Lonchura striata: one gene and its partner. The protein of the gene in region 1 interacts with the protein of each later gene in a pairwise test. Links are inferred from orthologs where the notes say so. Each region holds a gene or a part of one and is shown in the gene's direction. Other genes may lie near its edges.

Region 1 (7,949 bases):
AGAAAACATGAAGAAAACTTGACACAATCATTAAAGTTTTCATAAACCAGCAAAGTATTCCAGAGAATAACAGCACACTTTGAAGCATCTGTCGGAAAACCACGTGAAAAAAATATGGATGTCGCTGCCACTAAGATGTAATTAATTGTATTTATTTCTAATAAACAGAGGGACTAGTACGTTAATACAAAATTTAGAATTCTGACTCAGTTAAGGATAGGGTTTGTAAATTTAAAAAAAGCCAACAAAAATGTTCAGATTGCCCCAAAGTATCACTTTAAATTTTAGTAAATCCATTTAAAAATTATTTTTTAAATACCTTACTCCATATGTAACCTGCCTTTACAGCAATCTCTGCCCTTTATTCACAACATGCATACAGAAGACTCACCTGAGAATTTCTTTCCTTGTGAAAAATGTGCAGTCCTATGAAGTAAGAAAAGGTATAACACAAAATGACAGTTTTTAGCATGCATCGACCCAAACTTTTCCCATGCAGTGACTTAAATGAATTTATACTATAGTGTACATGTAAGCATTTAAAAATTCTTAATGGCATACATTTAGGCATATTTTATAATCTTTCCTTTTGATATAAAAAACAAACTATGTTACTAAAATCTTTGCTGCAATTCAGTATGTCTACTTATTAATTTTTAAAAGATGATGTTTTTAAAAACCCAACAATACCTTTGCCATTATTCAATGCCCTGTCCAAAGAGCCATTTAGTTTGCTTTATACCTGATATGCATCCAGTTGCTCCTGAGTGAAAATGGTTTGCTTGTTGCCCATTTTGAGCAGGGAATACTGACTCCTGTCAGTTCTTTCCTCAAAGGCACCTTTATAGGTCCTCTGGATATTCAGTTATTAAAAGCTGCAACAATGAGGCTCAGGTACAGCAGAGGATCAGGTAACCAACTTGTACAGGCTGCAAAGTATCATAATAGGAGCATTTCATCAAATCTTTAGTCTAGCTGCTTGAGGCTCTTATCCAGCAGCATTCACCCGTCTCCTGTGTGCACCACGAAGACTCGGGTTACAGGATTTAGCCAAATAAGTAATAGCTGCTCATTAGTGCCCTTCAGTTGCAAGAAGACCCAGTGGACCCTGCTTTTTCATGCCTTCAGATATGGTGAATAAACTGAAAAGTGTTAGCAGCATTTTCCTCCTTTAAAATTTAACACCAAATGATGGAAATTTGGTAGCCCCTCCTCCTTTCCTTCTCATATTTTATAGGGTCAGAATTATAAAAGCCCTTGGAAAAGCCCTTTTAGATCATTAATGCAGCACTGCCAAGATCACCAATATTCCATGTCCTCAGGTGCCACATCCACATGTTTTTTTGAACACTTCCAGGGATGGTGACTTCACCACTGTCCTGGGCAGCCTGTGCCAGTATTTTCCTTTAATGCACATTGTTAAAATACACTAATGCTGGTGGTAGCTTGTACTGGAGGTAGTAACCATAAATTCCGCTCACTCCCTTCCTTCTGCATCATCTGCTGACGTATCTTACTACTAATTAATGGTGATTAGCATGACATCCATCCATACTGATTCATACACGGCCTTTGCACTGAAAAGATGTGTGAGTGTATAGTTCATACCTGTGAACAGAAATGTGATGCTATGAAAGATGAAAAACAAGGGGAAAAAAGGAGGAACTGGAACAGGCTGCTTTTTCATGGAGCTGTAAAGTTTCTATTTCTGGGTCACTGGTTCCCTCTGACTGGTGGAAGATCTCTTCCTGGGGCAGGCTTGCTCCTCAGGGTATCTTCCCATAGCAAAAACGATCTGGAATGGTTCTGTTCAGAGTGCAACAAGAAGTGTGGGGAGGGATGGGGCTGGTCCCTCCTGGTGTAGCCTAGATCTCCAGGTGTTCTCCTCAAGGCAATTCCATCCTGTTGTCCTCAAAATCAGATTTATTATGTGATGTGCAACAAGCCAATAATTACACAGTTGAGAGAGATATTATTTGCACAAGCCTGGATGCTTGGTGGGTTTCCACAAATCCAACACACCCCACTGGACTTTCCACGCCATTATTTACAGAAGTTCATCGTCTTTTTCCAAGGTCAGCCTCTCTATTAAGATTATTTAGTAATTTCCATACAAGTTAGACAATCCCCAGCTAACTTCTCCACATGCAATGGGGAAGGGTCTGCACCTGGGCAAGGTCTTTTTGACCCTTAGGCATGATCTTAAGTATTATAATGAAGATAGTTCAGCTAGTTCAGCTGTAGGATATACAGACCTTGAATCCTTTGCCAAATTATCAATGTATACACACACATACATCAACATTTTGATTTACTACATCCCTAAAGCTTGTTAATTCCCATATGTTGTTGACTAAGGGCTGCTAGCTGCTGTCTTCCCATTCATTACATCTCCTTTCTTGCTGAATAGGTTTGAAAGTATAGAAAGAGTTTACATCAAAAAAAAATTCTATTTTTAAATAATCTTGATATATTCCATATTTTGCAAGTCCTGCTTCGGTTCCCCTCACAGAGATACCCCCGGACTGGGCTCACTGCCCGCTCCCCTCACGGAGGTACTAAGGCGGCTCAATGTCCGCTTCGGTTCCCCTCACGGAGGGGCGGGCGGGGCTCGTTACCGGTTCCCCTCACGGAGGTGCTAAGGCAGCTCATGGCAGTCCCGGTTCCCCTCACGGAGAAACCGTGCAGGGGTCGTCCCCGGTCCCCCTCACGAAGATGCAAGGCAGCTCATGGCAGTCCCGGTTCCCCTCACGGAGAAGCCGGGCGGGCTCGTTCCCGGCTCCCCTCACGGAGAGGCCGGTCCCCTCACGAAGATGCAAGGCGGCTTTATGGCCGTCCCGGTTCCCCTCACTGAGAGGCCGGTCCCCTCACGGAGGTGCAAGGCACCTCATGGCCGCTTCGGTTCCCCTCACGGACGGGCCGGTTCCCTCACGGAGAAGCCGGGCGGGGCTCGTTCCCGATTCCCCTCACGGAGAAGGCGGGCGGGCTCGTTCCCGGTTCCCCTCACGGAGAAGCCGGGCGGGCTCGTTCCCGGTCCCCCTCACGGAGAAGCCGGGCGGGCTCGTTCCCGGTTTCCCTCACGGAGAAGCCGGGCGGGCTCGTTCCCGGTCCCCTCACGGAGAAGCCGGGCGGGGCTCGCGCGCGGCTCCCGGCGCCGGCCGTGCCGTTGCGGCGGTGCCGGCAGGGGGCGCGGGCGCGGCCGTTCCGCCATGGCGGACTACGAGGCAGTGCAGCGCGGTCCGCTGCGGCTGAAGGGCAGCGGCGGGGCCCTGGGGGCCGGCAAGCGGTGAGGGGGGAGCCGGGGGGAACCGGGGGAGAACGGGGAGCGGTGAGGAGGGGTCGGGAGAACCGTGAGCGAGGAGGGGACACACAGCGCCGGGGCTGAGCTCTGACCGGGCGCTTCCCGCAGGAAGAAGAAGAAGGCGAAAGACAAGGCCCAGATGCTGGAGCAGATCGTGAGCAGCAAGAAGCAGGAGGAGGAGAAGAAGCGCGGGCTGGACAAGCGGACCCCGGCGCAGGTGGCCTACGAGAAGATGCAGGAGAAGCGGGTAAGGGTTTAAAAGCCGCTGTCACCCCTGGGGTGCGGCCGCTGAGGGGGCTGCGAGTGCCGGGAGTAACCGGCCTTAATGTGTCTCCTACAGCAAATGGAACGGATCCTGAAGAAAGCGTCGAAAACCCACAAGCAGCGAGTGGAGGTGAGCAAAACCATCCCGAGTCCATCAGGCCAGCGTGTTTTGTTGGGCTGAAGGAACTGTTCCGCCTTGTGAAACACAAGCCGGGACGCAGGGGGGGCTTGTGGTTCAACTTGGTGATGTCAGCACCCTGTTTTCTTTCTCTTTGCCTCCCCCAGGACTTCAACAGGCACTTGGATACTCTGACTGAGCATTACGACATTCCCAAAGTCAGCTGGACTAAATGACCGGGCTGCTTTTCACGGCTCTGGAGCTGGAGTTGTGTTTTGTTTGTATCAAGCAGGGTTGCCATGTAAATCTGTCTTTTCTCTATATTGTCTAATACATCTTCTGAGCTTTTATGACTTCATACTGTCTTATTTTATAGACTTGTTATTTAAAACCAATCATCCAGCAATGTCTCCTGTGGGCTGAGGAGCTCTGGTTTACATCGATGGAGAGGGCTGTTTTTTTTTAGTGTTTATAGTGAGATTAAGGCCAGAACGAATTGCTGTGAGCCAGATGGAAAACATTCCTTTTATTTTGTTAGTTCTAACAGTACTCCTTTTTTCAAGTGGAGTCTGACAGTCTCATTAAGTTTCTCTTGTAAGTTATGTGAATTGTATAATTACTTTCTATCAAGTTCTGTCAGAGGCCATGTTGCAAAACATGAAATATGTAAAATTGTTTTAGGAAAGGATATTCTTTGGTATTTGATCTTTGTATACTTTCAAGCCTAACCAGCAAGAAGGGAGGTTTAATCCATAAAATAGAGAGCAGCCAACAAGCTCTGAGTGATGTCCAAGTTTTGATAGCTGGATTTCTGGGATCCCACCGAGCATCGAGGCTTGTGCAGCTCTGAAATAAATAATCAGCGTGTCTCTCGAGTGTGTAATTGTGGCAAACAGTTATCATTTCTATCTTGAGTATCAACAGTATCATTTCTGTCTTCCAGAGGGGTCTGCTGCAAGTTGTAAATTCGATGTAATTTATTAAAACGCTGCTTCCACCCCTTTTTTGGGATGGAATGAAATGGGGCGTGTGGAGTTTGATTGTTACCCCCTCTGAGGGATGTATCACGATGTCGGAACTCCCAAACCGGGATGTTCTTAACCCGAATTACGCTCTCCGTGTGTCCGTGCCCAGCTCAGCCCGCGGACCGGCGCGCCGGGACTATTTAACGGCGCTGCCGCGGTGTCCTTCCGCCGCGCCGGCGTCACTTCCTGCGGAAGCGGAAGCGGCAGCGGCGGGCGGGACGGGCCCGGCCGGGGCGATGTCGGCCAGCGCCGTCTATGTGCTGGACCTGAAGGGGAAGGTGAGGCCCGGCGCGGAGCTGCGGGTTCCGCTGCCTTGGGACGGCTGCGGGGCCGCGTTCCGCTCCCCGGGCTGCCGGCCCCCGCTTAGCCCAGCGGGGACGGGGGAGTTGTGGCCTGCAGCCCCTCGCCGGTAAACGGGGACAGGGAGTTGTGGGCAGCCCCTCGCCGGTAAACGGGGACAGGGAGTTGTGGGCAGCCCCTCGCCGGTAGAGATGTTGGGTGAGGCGGCATCCCCGGGGTGATTAATCTCTGTGTTAGCGTTCAGGAGCACACATCATCGCGGGATATGATTATGTGCAGGTGCTTTTATTGAGAGCTTTGGGAATCAGGGGTACAGACCCAAATTGACTCCGACATGGCTTTCGAGCTGAACGTATTTTATATTATTATCGTTATATAACTTACATAAAAACTGGGGATGGGAATGGGGATTGGAAATTTGGAATGGAAAACTGAAACTGGGAGTGGGAAACTGGGAATGGAAAATTAGGAATGGAAATCTGGGAGTGGGCATGAGAATGGGGATGGAAAACTGGGAATGGAAAACTGACAATGGGGATGGGAACTTATTAAATTTATATTGTTCTATTGTATACATTGACAAGAGTTTCTCGTGATCTTCCTTAGGCCCCCTGACCACAGTTTCTCATGATTATTCTTACAATTAAACAGTAATTAATTACTAAGCAATCATCACATCTAACAATTATATCATTTATCATGTACTAGGTACACAGGTGCAGTTCTAGCAAGGTACAAGTCTTCATGTACCTAGGGTATTTAATTTTTTCAGGGCCTACTAAGCTTAATTTTCCTTTTAACCCTAAATCCCCATGATTTTAAAACCCTTTTCTTGTCATCTGCCGGTATCCTAGCTGCTTTGCTCAGAAGAATTGTGCATTTTCCTATCCTAAAACCATTCTTAGAGCCTGAGCAGTAATAGAGGTCTGGAAAATATTAATAGATTTTGCAATTACATGTTGGTGTTTGCAAAGTGTTTCAGCATTGTGATTTGCACTTACAAATGCAGAGAGGCTTGAGGGAAGCTGGATGATTTTAGAGGGGTTTATCCAGCATTTGTGTGGCTTGCATGGTAACGTCCTTGTGAAAGAGAAGAAAGAAGGATTTGGTTGCTTACAGGTTCTGATCTGTCGGAATTACCGTGGAGATGTGGACATGTCAGAGGTGGAACATTTTATGCCAATCCTTATGGAAAAGGAAGAAGAGGGGACGCTTTCTCCTATCTTAGCACATGGAGGAGTTCGTTTCATGTGGATTAAACATAACAACCTGTATCGTATCCTTTGTGCTGCAGATGTGCTGACCTGCCAAGGGTTGCTGCTGTGGTTTTAATGTCAGAATGCAAGTTGAAGTATGGGTGAAGTGGTATAAAGTGGCTATATTCAATAAAGTTGGTCATATTAAATAAGGGGTTTTTTGTGCTTTACATAGTGTCATATATACCAGCAGCATAAAGTCCAGAAAAGTGTTCTAATTTTACTCTAATTAATGTCTTCCTGAATGTTATCTTCATATCTCTTTAGATCATTAGTGCTGTTAAGTAGTTAATGCATAATTCTTCCAGGCAACTCTAAGTGCCTTAAATTAGGCTTTTTAAACTGCATTTAGTAAGTGTTTTTTTTTTTAATGCATATTCCTGAACATCCTTTATCAGTTGTTGCAACTTCTAAGAAAAATGCTTGTGTATCACTGGTGTTTTCATTTTTATATAAAGTAGTTCAGGTGAGTATATTTCAGAAGTAACCTTTATGTTCTGTCTAAATAGAAGGGCATAGAGCTTTCACATTTTTTAAGAACTTCAACAATAGTGTTTTTACTTTATATTTGATTATTTTGTTGAACTATCTTCTTAACCACTAATAAGGGCACTGATATTTTGTAGCTGTGTGGGCAGAGTGCTCTAAGTAGTTACACAAGACCTGAGCACCTGGAGGAGATTGTGAACTGGTGCATGTGTTGTCATGCCTCATACAGATCCTGTGCTTGCTTCATATCCAGAAAGATATTTTTTCATAATAGTTTCTTCTATGATTCTCTGTATCTGTTTTAATTGTGGTGGGTTTCCTGGGGCTGATCTGAGCAGAATGCTGTTTGGGAAGTATGGGGTTGGGGTTGGAACTTTACAGGATTATTATTTTAGATGCAGGAATACCTTCTGTGTGTGCTGTGCTGCCTCAGTTAATGTCCTTCTTCTCCCTCCCCCTCCTCTTGTTGCATTTCAGGTTTTTTCTGAATATTTCAAGGAGTTGGAAGAAGAGAGCATTAGGGATAATTTTGTTATTATTTATGAGTTGTTAGATGAGCTTATGGATTTTGGTTATCCACAAACCACTGATAGTAAAATTTTACAAGAGTAAGTATCACTCAACAGTGACAAAGCCCTTGGAATGTTTTGAGCCTTTTTCCATAGGCAAACAAATGTTTGGGTGTGTTCTAATTATCAAAAGTATTAATTTTATTTTTTTTCTGTGCCAATTTTCTGGTTGTGAAGGTACATCACTCAGGAAGGCCACAAACTTGAAACTGGAGCCCCACGCCCGCCTGCCACTGTTACAAATGCTGTTTCATGGAGATCAGAAGGGATAAAATACAGGAAAAACGAGGTGTTCCTGGATGTCATAGAGTCTGTTAACCTTTTGGTGGGTACCTTGGACTTCAACTTTTATGTAAGAATTGTAGTAAAAAGTGTTAAAAAGGGCTTTTTGTATGCGAACCTGCAACAAAAAGTCTGATTGTGGATGTGTTCTGTGACACTCAAAGCAATGTTATCATTAAGTTCCCATGTAATCATTAATTAAGTAATGTAATAATAATTAAGTAACATAATCATTAAGGAAATCCAGTACAAATAATGCTTTAATTGTGTGTATTGCTGATTTTTGGATATGTCCTTTGATCCTCTATACTGGATTAATTCCTGATAAGAAACATATCCAAGAAA
Region 2 (7,696 bases), on another chromosome or scaffold:
GTGTTCCAGCTGTCCTGCAGAGGCACAGTCAGTGCTAGCTGGTGCAGTGTGTGTCCTTTTCAGGTGAAGGTTGTGAATGAAGAGCTCTACCGAAAAGCCTTTGAGGAAATAGTGCGCTCCCTGGATAAGCTGGAGAATGCCAACATTCCCTCAGTGACACTGTCCCGCAGAGAGGTAGGGCATGGGCATGTGCCAGCACTCCCTGAAGGAACTGAGCAACCCTAGGGCCCAGCAGCACAAGATGGATCCTAGACCCTTGGGTCTGGTTACAAAAAGTAGAATATTTTGACTTCCAGTTGCTCTGTGTTTACAAGCCCTAGGAATCTTTGCTCATATTTAGATGTTGGTGAATTCCATTCACAGTCCAAGGCTGAAACACAAGATGTGCAATTCCATGAAGTGGGAAGAGAGAAAGTAAAAAGGTGGTTTGTGACCCTTGCTCTGACTTGTGCTTTCAAACATAAAATGTAAAATTGTAAGGGTCTGGAGAAGGTCACAAACCAGCATTTGCTTTGTGTGTTGGGACTATAAAGATAAGCCCAGGAGACATTTGAGGCCACAGCTATCTCATTCTCAATTTTATTGTAGTTATTTGAGGGCAGCATTTGTTTTAAAGGGCCCCCTGACAGAAGGGACTTTGGCATTCAGAGTATGCACATGTGATCCTATGCACTCCTGGAGGAGAGGGGGGTGGCAGCAAGGGGTTAATCCAGTTGTCTTGCTGTTTAAAAATTAAACCACAGGAGATGGAATCGGCTGATGATGTTGACTGACATTTGTTCCTAGATCCATTTTGAGGATGTTAAATACATGCAGCTGCAGGTAGAGAGGTTTACAATCCGCAATGGCCAAGTGCCCTGCCAGTTCCAATTTATCAGCAAACCAGATGAGGAAACCTACTGCAAGGAGTGGCTGACTGCTAATCCCAGTAAGGGCTTCTTGCTCTCAGGTGAGCTCCTCCTTTTGTCTCGTGCTACTGCTGATATTATCCCCTTCTGGCTTAGTTCCCTCTGCACTTCTGAGAGTGCTGTGCCTGTTTGCAGGCTGTTGGTTTAATGCTGATTGTAACTGAGTGTGGGTTTTTTATCATCTTCTGGCAGATGCTGAGATCACAGTTGAGCTGGAGGTGTTTGTTAATAAATCAACAGCTACTCGCTTAAACTCTGGAGAGGAAAAACTTGAAGATATCTTAGTCTTGCATCTTGTCAATGGGAAGGATTATTTTCTATCCATAACAGGCAACTATTTGCCAAGTTGCTTTGGGTCTCCCATCCATACACTGTGTTACATGAGGGAACCAATCCAGGACATGTCAGCAGAATCCATTCGGAGACTTGTGAGTTAAAGACAAGATTCCCTTCCAAACACACAAGAGCAATAAAACTAGGTGCTAAGGCCTGTATGTTTTTATTAAGAAGTCTCAATTCTCAGGTATAAGCTTTGTGAAGTATTTTTGCCAAGTTGAATAAGAACTTGGCTAGCTACCTTTTGTTTGTCTCTCTCCTGCCCACACTGCCCTCCCTCAGACCCTGATGCCAGTAGACATGAGTGATGATCCTGCCCAAGAGGAAAAGCCTATGGACATCCCAAAAGAGCTGTGGATGATGGTGGATCACTTGAATCGCAACGCTTCCCAGCAGGTTGGCACTGGAAACACAAAACGAGATGTTTGCATTGGGTTAAGTTTGGAAGAAGATACTGGTAATAGCAGTCACCACGAGCTGGGTGTGTTTGGCCAAAGGCCATGGAGATAAGTGGTCCTGATGCCCCAGGTTGTACTGTTTGGTGCTAGTGACCGTGTCTGTGTGCCCAGGTACCAGCAGTGTCCGGCTATCAAGCAGACTTGGGTGACAACCACCAATTTGGAGAGACTTCCCAGGCAGATTATAGGAACATTGCTCTATTTACCCACAATTGTTCTATTTTCCTTGTACTGATAAAGGGTTGTCTTTGCAGGAGGACTTGTTTCAGCAGCCAGGCCTCAGATCTGAATTTGAGCAAATCCGAGACTGTTTGGACAAGGGAATGTACGATACTTTCTGTATCCTTTCAGACTGGTGTCAAGGAAGGCTCACTATGCCAGAGTGCCAAAACTCTGAGAGGTTTTTAAGCTTCTGTCTCTCCTCCTGGGGTACCTGAGCTCTACATTTCCTCGTGGCTCTGTGTCATCCTCTGCTGAGTCCTGGCGATGTCAATGAATGACACAAGTGCCCAGCTGCTAACAGCAGCAGCTCGTGTGGAGGCCAGGGGATTAACCCAAAGCTGTGAGCTGTAGGCACAGTTCTGGGACACCTAACCCAAAATTCATTCATGTTTCAGCAGAAATAGGAGCACCCTAGGTCGTGCTGTGCTCTTCCTTAACCAGTGGATCAGTGGGCAGCAACCACTCAGTGGCAGAGGCCCTGCTGCTGTTCCTGGAGAGCCTTCCTGAGCCTGTCATCTGCTGCAGGTTCTATAGCTCCTGTCTGGAGAGTGCCAGCAACTACGGGCTGAGCTGTCAGGTACTGCTGGCTGCCCGAGGGACCAGCTCCAGTGCCACAGGGAGGGCAGGGAAACTGGCCTCTGCTAGACCAGTTCCACAGGGAGGGCAGGGAAACTGGCCCCTGCTACACCCATCACCCAGTTTTGCTCTCAGTAATCCTCTCTTAATAGAAATGATCTGGAACTGGTGCTTTTAGGGTGTAAAGAGCTGTTGGCACCTGCAGAGTGGGGGGTTTTGGGGGCAGGCGCAGCTGGAAGGCATTGCTGTGTCTGCAGTGTGAATGTTGGTGTTTTTCCTTTCTCAGATTATCTCTGCCCTACCAGCATGCCATAAAAATGTGTTCGAATATCTGATGGCATTTCTACGAGAGCTACTGAAGAACTCAGGGAAGAACCATTTGGATGTGAATATTCTTGGTAAGGCCAGCAAAATAACGCTCTGTTCAGAGGGGCTGCACAGGTAGGGCAACAAAACACTTCATACCCCAGTGCAGTGGTGGCTTGTAGTGCTTTGAACCTTTTATTAGAAACAAATAGCCCATAGAAAAACAGGAGTCTGGGAAAGCAGCCCAGAGATGTGGGGACTATCAGCTTTATCTTGCCTCACACCAAAGCCAGGCTCTCCTCCCTGGGGTCTCTCAGGGTCTGGGTGATGGGATGACCCCAAGAGTGTAAAAGTCCTCATTTCCCAACCTGTGCAGCCAAAGAAGGAGCCTGAATGCATAGAGTCAGCTTCTCAAGGTTGTTTATTTTTCCTTATATATAACATTCTTTCTCTGACCTGCTGAGCTCTAACAAGTCGGCCATGGCATTCTGTGTGCCCTCAGGGTGGTGTTTACATTTTATACCAAAAACTACGTGTACTGTGTTTACAATAACCTGCCAATACCTATCACTTACATTAGACAGTTTGTCTCTACCTTAAACCAATAGCAAAGTGTCACCATCACACCAAGACATGGAGAGCAAGAAGAAGGAGAAGAAGGCTAGGATATGCCCAAATCCCCCTGAATCCTAGTCTAAAAACCCCAAATTTCTACTTTTCCACCCTGTGTTAACTCAACTACCACACTACTCAAACCCTTGTGGCTTGTAATTCCTCATACAGAACTGGCAGCTTTTTCCACTGGCTAAAATCGAACTCACAGGTGTTTTTGACTTTGTGCCAAGGTCTTTGAGCCCCCTGCCAGGGTCTGGGCCAGCCGGGGCAGCCAGAGGGATGTGCTGGGTTCCCACAGGGTGCCTCGATTGCTGCTCTCACCGTGTGTCCGTGTGCTTTCCCTGCAGCCAGCGTGTTCGGGGGTTTGTTGCTGCGGCCGCCCCCCGGCCACGCCACGCCTGACATCGCTGCCAAGAGGAAAGCGCAGCAGTTTATCCACCAGTTCCTCGTCAGAGAAGATCATTTATCATGAACCTCAGATGCGGTTAATCTCACTTGTAGACATTGAATTGCTGTAAAAAAATATATATTTTTTTTGTATATTATACTGGCACTTTTTTTGATATGGCGGTGTTTTATACAATCTGTTGCTTTTGAAAGCGGAGATCAGGCAGTTTGACACCTGATTAAGCTGCAAAGTACATCAAGTTTCCCAATAAGCTGTACATAGATGAGTTTAAAAAAAGAGAGCTGATATGTACACTGTATTTTATTTAACATTATACTGGCACTTTTTTTGATATGATGGTGTTTTATACAATCTTGCTTTCGAAGGCAGAGATCAGGCAGTTTGACACCTGATTACGCTGTCAAGTACATCAAATTTCCCAATAAGCTGTACATAGATGAATTTTAAAAAAAAGAGTGCTGATATGTTCACTGTATTTTATTTATTAAAACGAGGACATTATACTGGCACTTTTTTGCTATCACAGTGTTTTATACAATCTATTGCTTTCGAAGGTGGAGATCAGGCAGTTTGACACCTGATTACGCCGCAAAGTACATCAAATTTATCAATAAGCTGTATGTAGACTAGTTAAAAAAAAAGAGAGCTGATATGTTCGCTGTACTTTATTTAACTTGTTAAAACGAGGCGAGTTTTTAAGCCGCTGCTATTTAAATAAAAACATCTTTCCGCGGTGGCTGAGGGCCGTGAGGGGCGCGCGGCCGCTAGGGGGCGCTGCGCTCCTCCCGCCCGCCCTCCCCCTTCCCGTCGGCCCCCGCGGCGGGCGCGGCGCTCCCGGCGTGCGGCGCGCGGCCGGAAGCGGAAGCGCGGTCGCGGCGATCATGGTGCCGCTGGGGCGGGGAAGGAGCCGCCGGCACCCGGTGAGCGGGGCAGGGGGAGGCAGGGACGGAGGGAGGGCTGAGCGAGCCGAGCGAGCCGAGCACGGAGCAGCGCGGTTGGCGCGGGCAGCGGGAGTGGCTGTTGGCGGCAGCGGGCCGGGTGGGGGTAGCGCCGCGCTCAGGGCGGGACCGCGGCGCTCGGCCCGGCTCGGCCCCGCCGCCACCGGCCGCCCCGGGGTTGTGCCTGCGGGCGGAACGGGGCCCTGCCGAGCCGCCTGACCCCCGTCCGCCTCTCGTTGCGTTGCAGATGAGCCGTTCCGGTGGGAGCTGCCGGTAGCGCGGAGCCATGGGTGAGAACAGCCCCGAAGGCAACGCCGTGTGCTGTGAGGCGGAGGAAGAAGACTTAGCCCAAGATGAAAATATGATGAGGTTTGCCGACAAAAACGGGCTGGTGTCCTCCTCGTCCGGGACGGTATACGACAGGACAACTGTGCTTATCGAGCAGGACCACAGTGTGCTGGAGGATGAGGAGGATGAAGGACAGTGCGGTGACCACTTGCCTTTTTTACCCGAGGGTCACGAAGAAGGATTCCATTTAATACCAGATCATGAAGGGATGTCACAGGGTTATGTGCAACATATTATTTCTCCAGATCAGATTCATCTAACGATAAATCCTGGTTCAACTCCCATGCCAAGGAATATTGAAGGAGCAACTCTCACCTTGCAGTCGGAGTGCCCAAAAACCAAGCGGAAGGAGGTGAGTGGCTCAATTGATTCTGGGCTTTGTGCACCTTCAGGGCTTTGAAAATGGACTGGTTTTCAGGAGGGAGCAGCAGTTTTGTTGCTTTCTCAGGAGAGGGGCAGCAGTTTTTCTGTTTCTCAGGAGAGGAGCAGCAGTTTTGTTGTTTTTCTCAGGAGAGGAGCAGCAGTTTTGCTGTTTCTCAGGAGAGGGGCAGCACTTTTGCTGTTTTTTTTTCCAGGAAAGTGGCAGTGGTTTTGCTGTTTTTTCAGGAGGGAGCAGTGGTTTTGCTCGTTTTTGAGGAGTTTTGTGTACTGGAGCATAAAGCTGCTCTGGTTGCCAGCCCCAGCTTTGCAGTGTGCAGGGGAGAACCGTGTCCCAGCAGAGCTGCCAGGGCCATCCCTCTTCCCTCTGACACCACCTGCTGCCCTAGGAAGCTGCCAGAAGGCACTTGGTGGCACTGGATGGCAGGAGGGTGTGGCACTGGCACATGCTTGTGTGTAGTTTTACTGATCTTCAGGTTTTCTTCTGCTCAGGTCATTATTTAGTGAGTCAGAGGCAGCTGAAACAACCTGAGCTGTTGCTCTGGGTTTGGCCACATTCTCAAAAAAGGCACATTCAGGTCACAGTTAAGGGCCAGGCCATTGCTGGGAGCTGGAGTACCGAACGTGAGATGCCAAATTTTAAGTGATTTGTAGTTTTATTGTGTCACAGGGAGCCTGTGAGAAGAAAAGTTAAAGTTAAAGCAGCTGCTTTAAAGTGCCATCTGATGTGTTTTGAAAGCTCAGGCCAGGCTGCATGGTTAAAATGGAGTTTACTCTTAATTTTGATTCCCTGATGAATTCTGTCTGGATGCACTGTGGGGCTGGGCTCTGCTGTTTGGGTGCAAGAGCAAGGGGAATTTGGCTGTGACACCAGCTCGGGGACAGGTTGGTGCTCCTCATTTGGCCTGCCTGAGGCATGTGAGGGGTGATGAGTGCAGGTGGCAGTGCCAGTGGCACAGGCTGTGACACTGGGTCCTGTTCATCAGCACAGAGCTGTCACCCTGGTGGCTGAGTGCTGGAAATGGGGCTGGGGGTGGCTCAGCTCTGCAGCTGGGGAGCTCCTGGGCTGAGGTGTGTTCAGGGAGCCTGTTTGAGCCTCCTGCTGCCACTCAGCAGCTGCTGAAGTGTTTCACTTGCTCTCCTCCCTGTGGGACCCTGAGCTGCTCCCAGAGCAGGGGGTGGGAGCTGAACAGGGTCCGTGGCTGCATGTGCAATTAAACTGACTTCATTTTTTCACCCTTGCTTCTTATAGAAGGCTTGTAGGGTGTGGAATTTCCTAGTGAAATGCTTCATATGAATTTATTTTCCATTTCTGGAATTAATTTCCCAGAACAGAGAGCAGTGATACCATAATGTGAAAGCACTGAGCCCTGAGCACGTGTGAAAGGCCTTTTTGCCTGCTGTTTCAAAGGTGTGCTGAATTGTCTGGAGGTGAGGAAAGGAAAGCTCTAAAGCTCCCAAGCATCTGGGTCAGCTCTGAAAATCAGCAGCTCTGTTCTTTGGTACTTGCAAAATGCTTGCAACATTTTTAACACTTGAGATAATTGTTTTAAAGCCTTAGAATTTCAAGTCAGCCTTCGACATTTATGAAGCTAAAAAGGGGATTTTGCACTTTAGCACCTTTGGCTTTTTTTTAATTATTATTCTGTTATAAATCTCACTGTACTTGTGTTGGTAAGAACAAACACGATTGCAGTTTCATATTTCAAATCCAGTTGTTTGTTCAGGGATGACACAGAAAATGCAGCCATTTAGGGGGAATGTGGTAAGCCCAGGAAGAGTTAAAGGCAAACAGAGCAGTTACTGTAGACTTTGAACCAGGGTGTGAGGCTCTGCTTTCTCCAGCCCTGCTGGATATTGCACAACGAGTTCCCATTTCTGAGGTAAATGCTGGATCACGTCTCTTCCAGCAGCACCTCAGTGTCCCTGGCCAAAAGCCAGAGTGTTTGGCCTCAAAGTCCCTGGGCCCTGTCCTGCCTGCCAGGGCTTGGCCTCTGCTGCCTTTTTTGTTTCCTCTTGTGCCCTGGTGCTGTGGCAGCCTGGAGCTCTTGCTGCTGTCCCTGCGAGGCTTTCAGGGACAAATCAAATCAAATCTCTGCTGGTTCTGTGTGTATGAACAGTGTGCTAATGTGAAAAGAGAATTAAATGCTGTGGTGCTTCACAGAAAGGTTTGTTCTGCTCAGAACGTGCTGGTGATATTGC

The links.
Region 2: the proteins of AP1M1 (region 1) and MTF1 interact in binary tests that used the Homo sapiens proteins (3 or more experiments, as listed by UniProt). The two-hybrid records come from large-scale screens. The link is inferred for Lonchura striata from reciprocal best matches to the Homo sapiens genes AP1M1 and MTF1.

What each region holds. Positions count from the first base shown.
Region 1 is NC_134630.1:4,653,012-4,660,960, reverse strand, and holds the start of AP1M1 (AP-1 complex subunit mu-1), read left to right. Parts: upstream 1-4,906; 5' UTR 4,907-4,944; coding exon 4,945-4,986; intron 4,987-6,127; coding exon 6,128-6,284; intron 6,285-6,662; coding exon 6,663-6,730; intron 6,731-7,230; coding exon 7,231-7,361; intron 7,362-7,499; coding exon 7,500-7,647; intron 7,648-7,949. Other genes in the region: CIB3 (calcium and integrin-binding family member 3), read right to left, coding at 392-426, 743-793; protein FAM32A, read left to right, coding at 3,210-3,286, 3,410-3,548, 3,642-3,695, 3,851-3,919. UniProt on the Homo sapiens protein: Subunit of clathrin-associated adaptor protein complex 1 that plays a role in protein sorting in the trans-Golgi network (TGN) and endosomes.
Region 2 is NC_134628.1:4,784,024-4,791,719, reverse strand, and holds the start of MTF1 (metal regulatory transcription factor 1), read left to right. Parts: upstream 1-4,644; 5' UTR 4,645-4,750; intron 4,751-5,015; 5' UTR 5,016-5,054; coding exon 5,055-5,468; intron 5,469-7,696. Other genes in the region: INPP5B (type II inositol 1,4,5-trisphosphate 5-phosphatase), read left to right, coding at 64-174, 787-949, 1,101-1,336, 1,527-1,640, 1,957-2,041, 2,374-2,501, 2,787-2,898, 3,769-3,893. UniProt on the Homo sapiens protein: Zinc-dependent transcriptional regulator of cellular adaption to conditions of exposure to heavy metals. Binds to metal responsive elements (MRE) in promoters and activates the transcription of metallothionein genes like metallothionein-2/MT2A.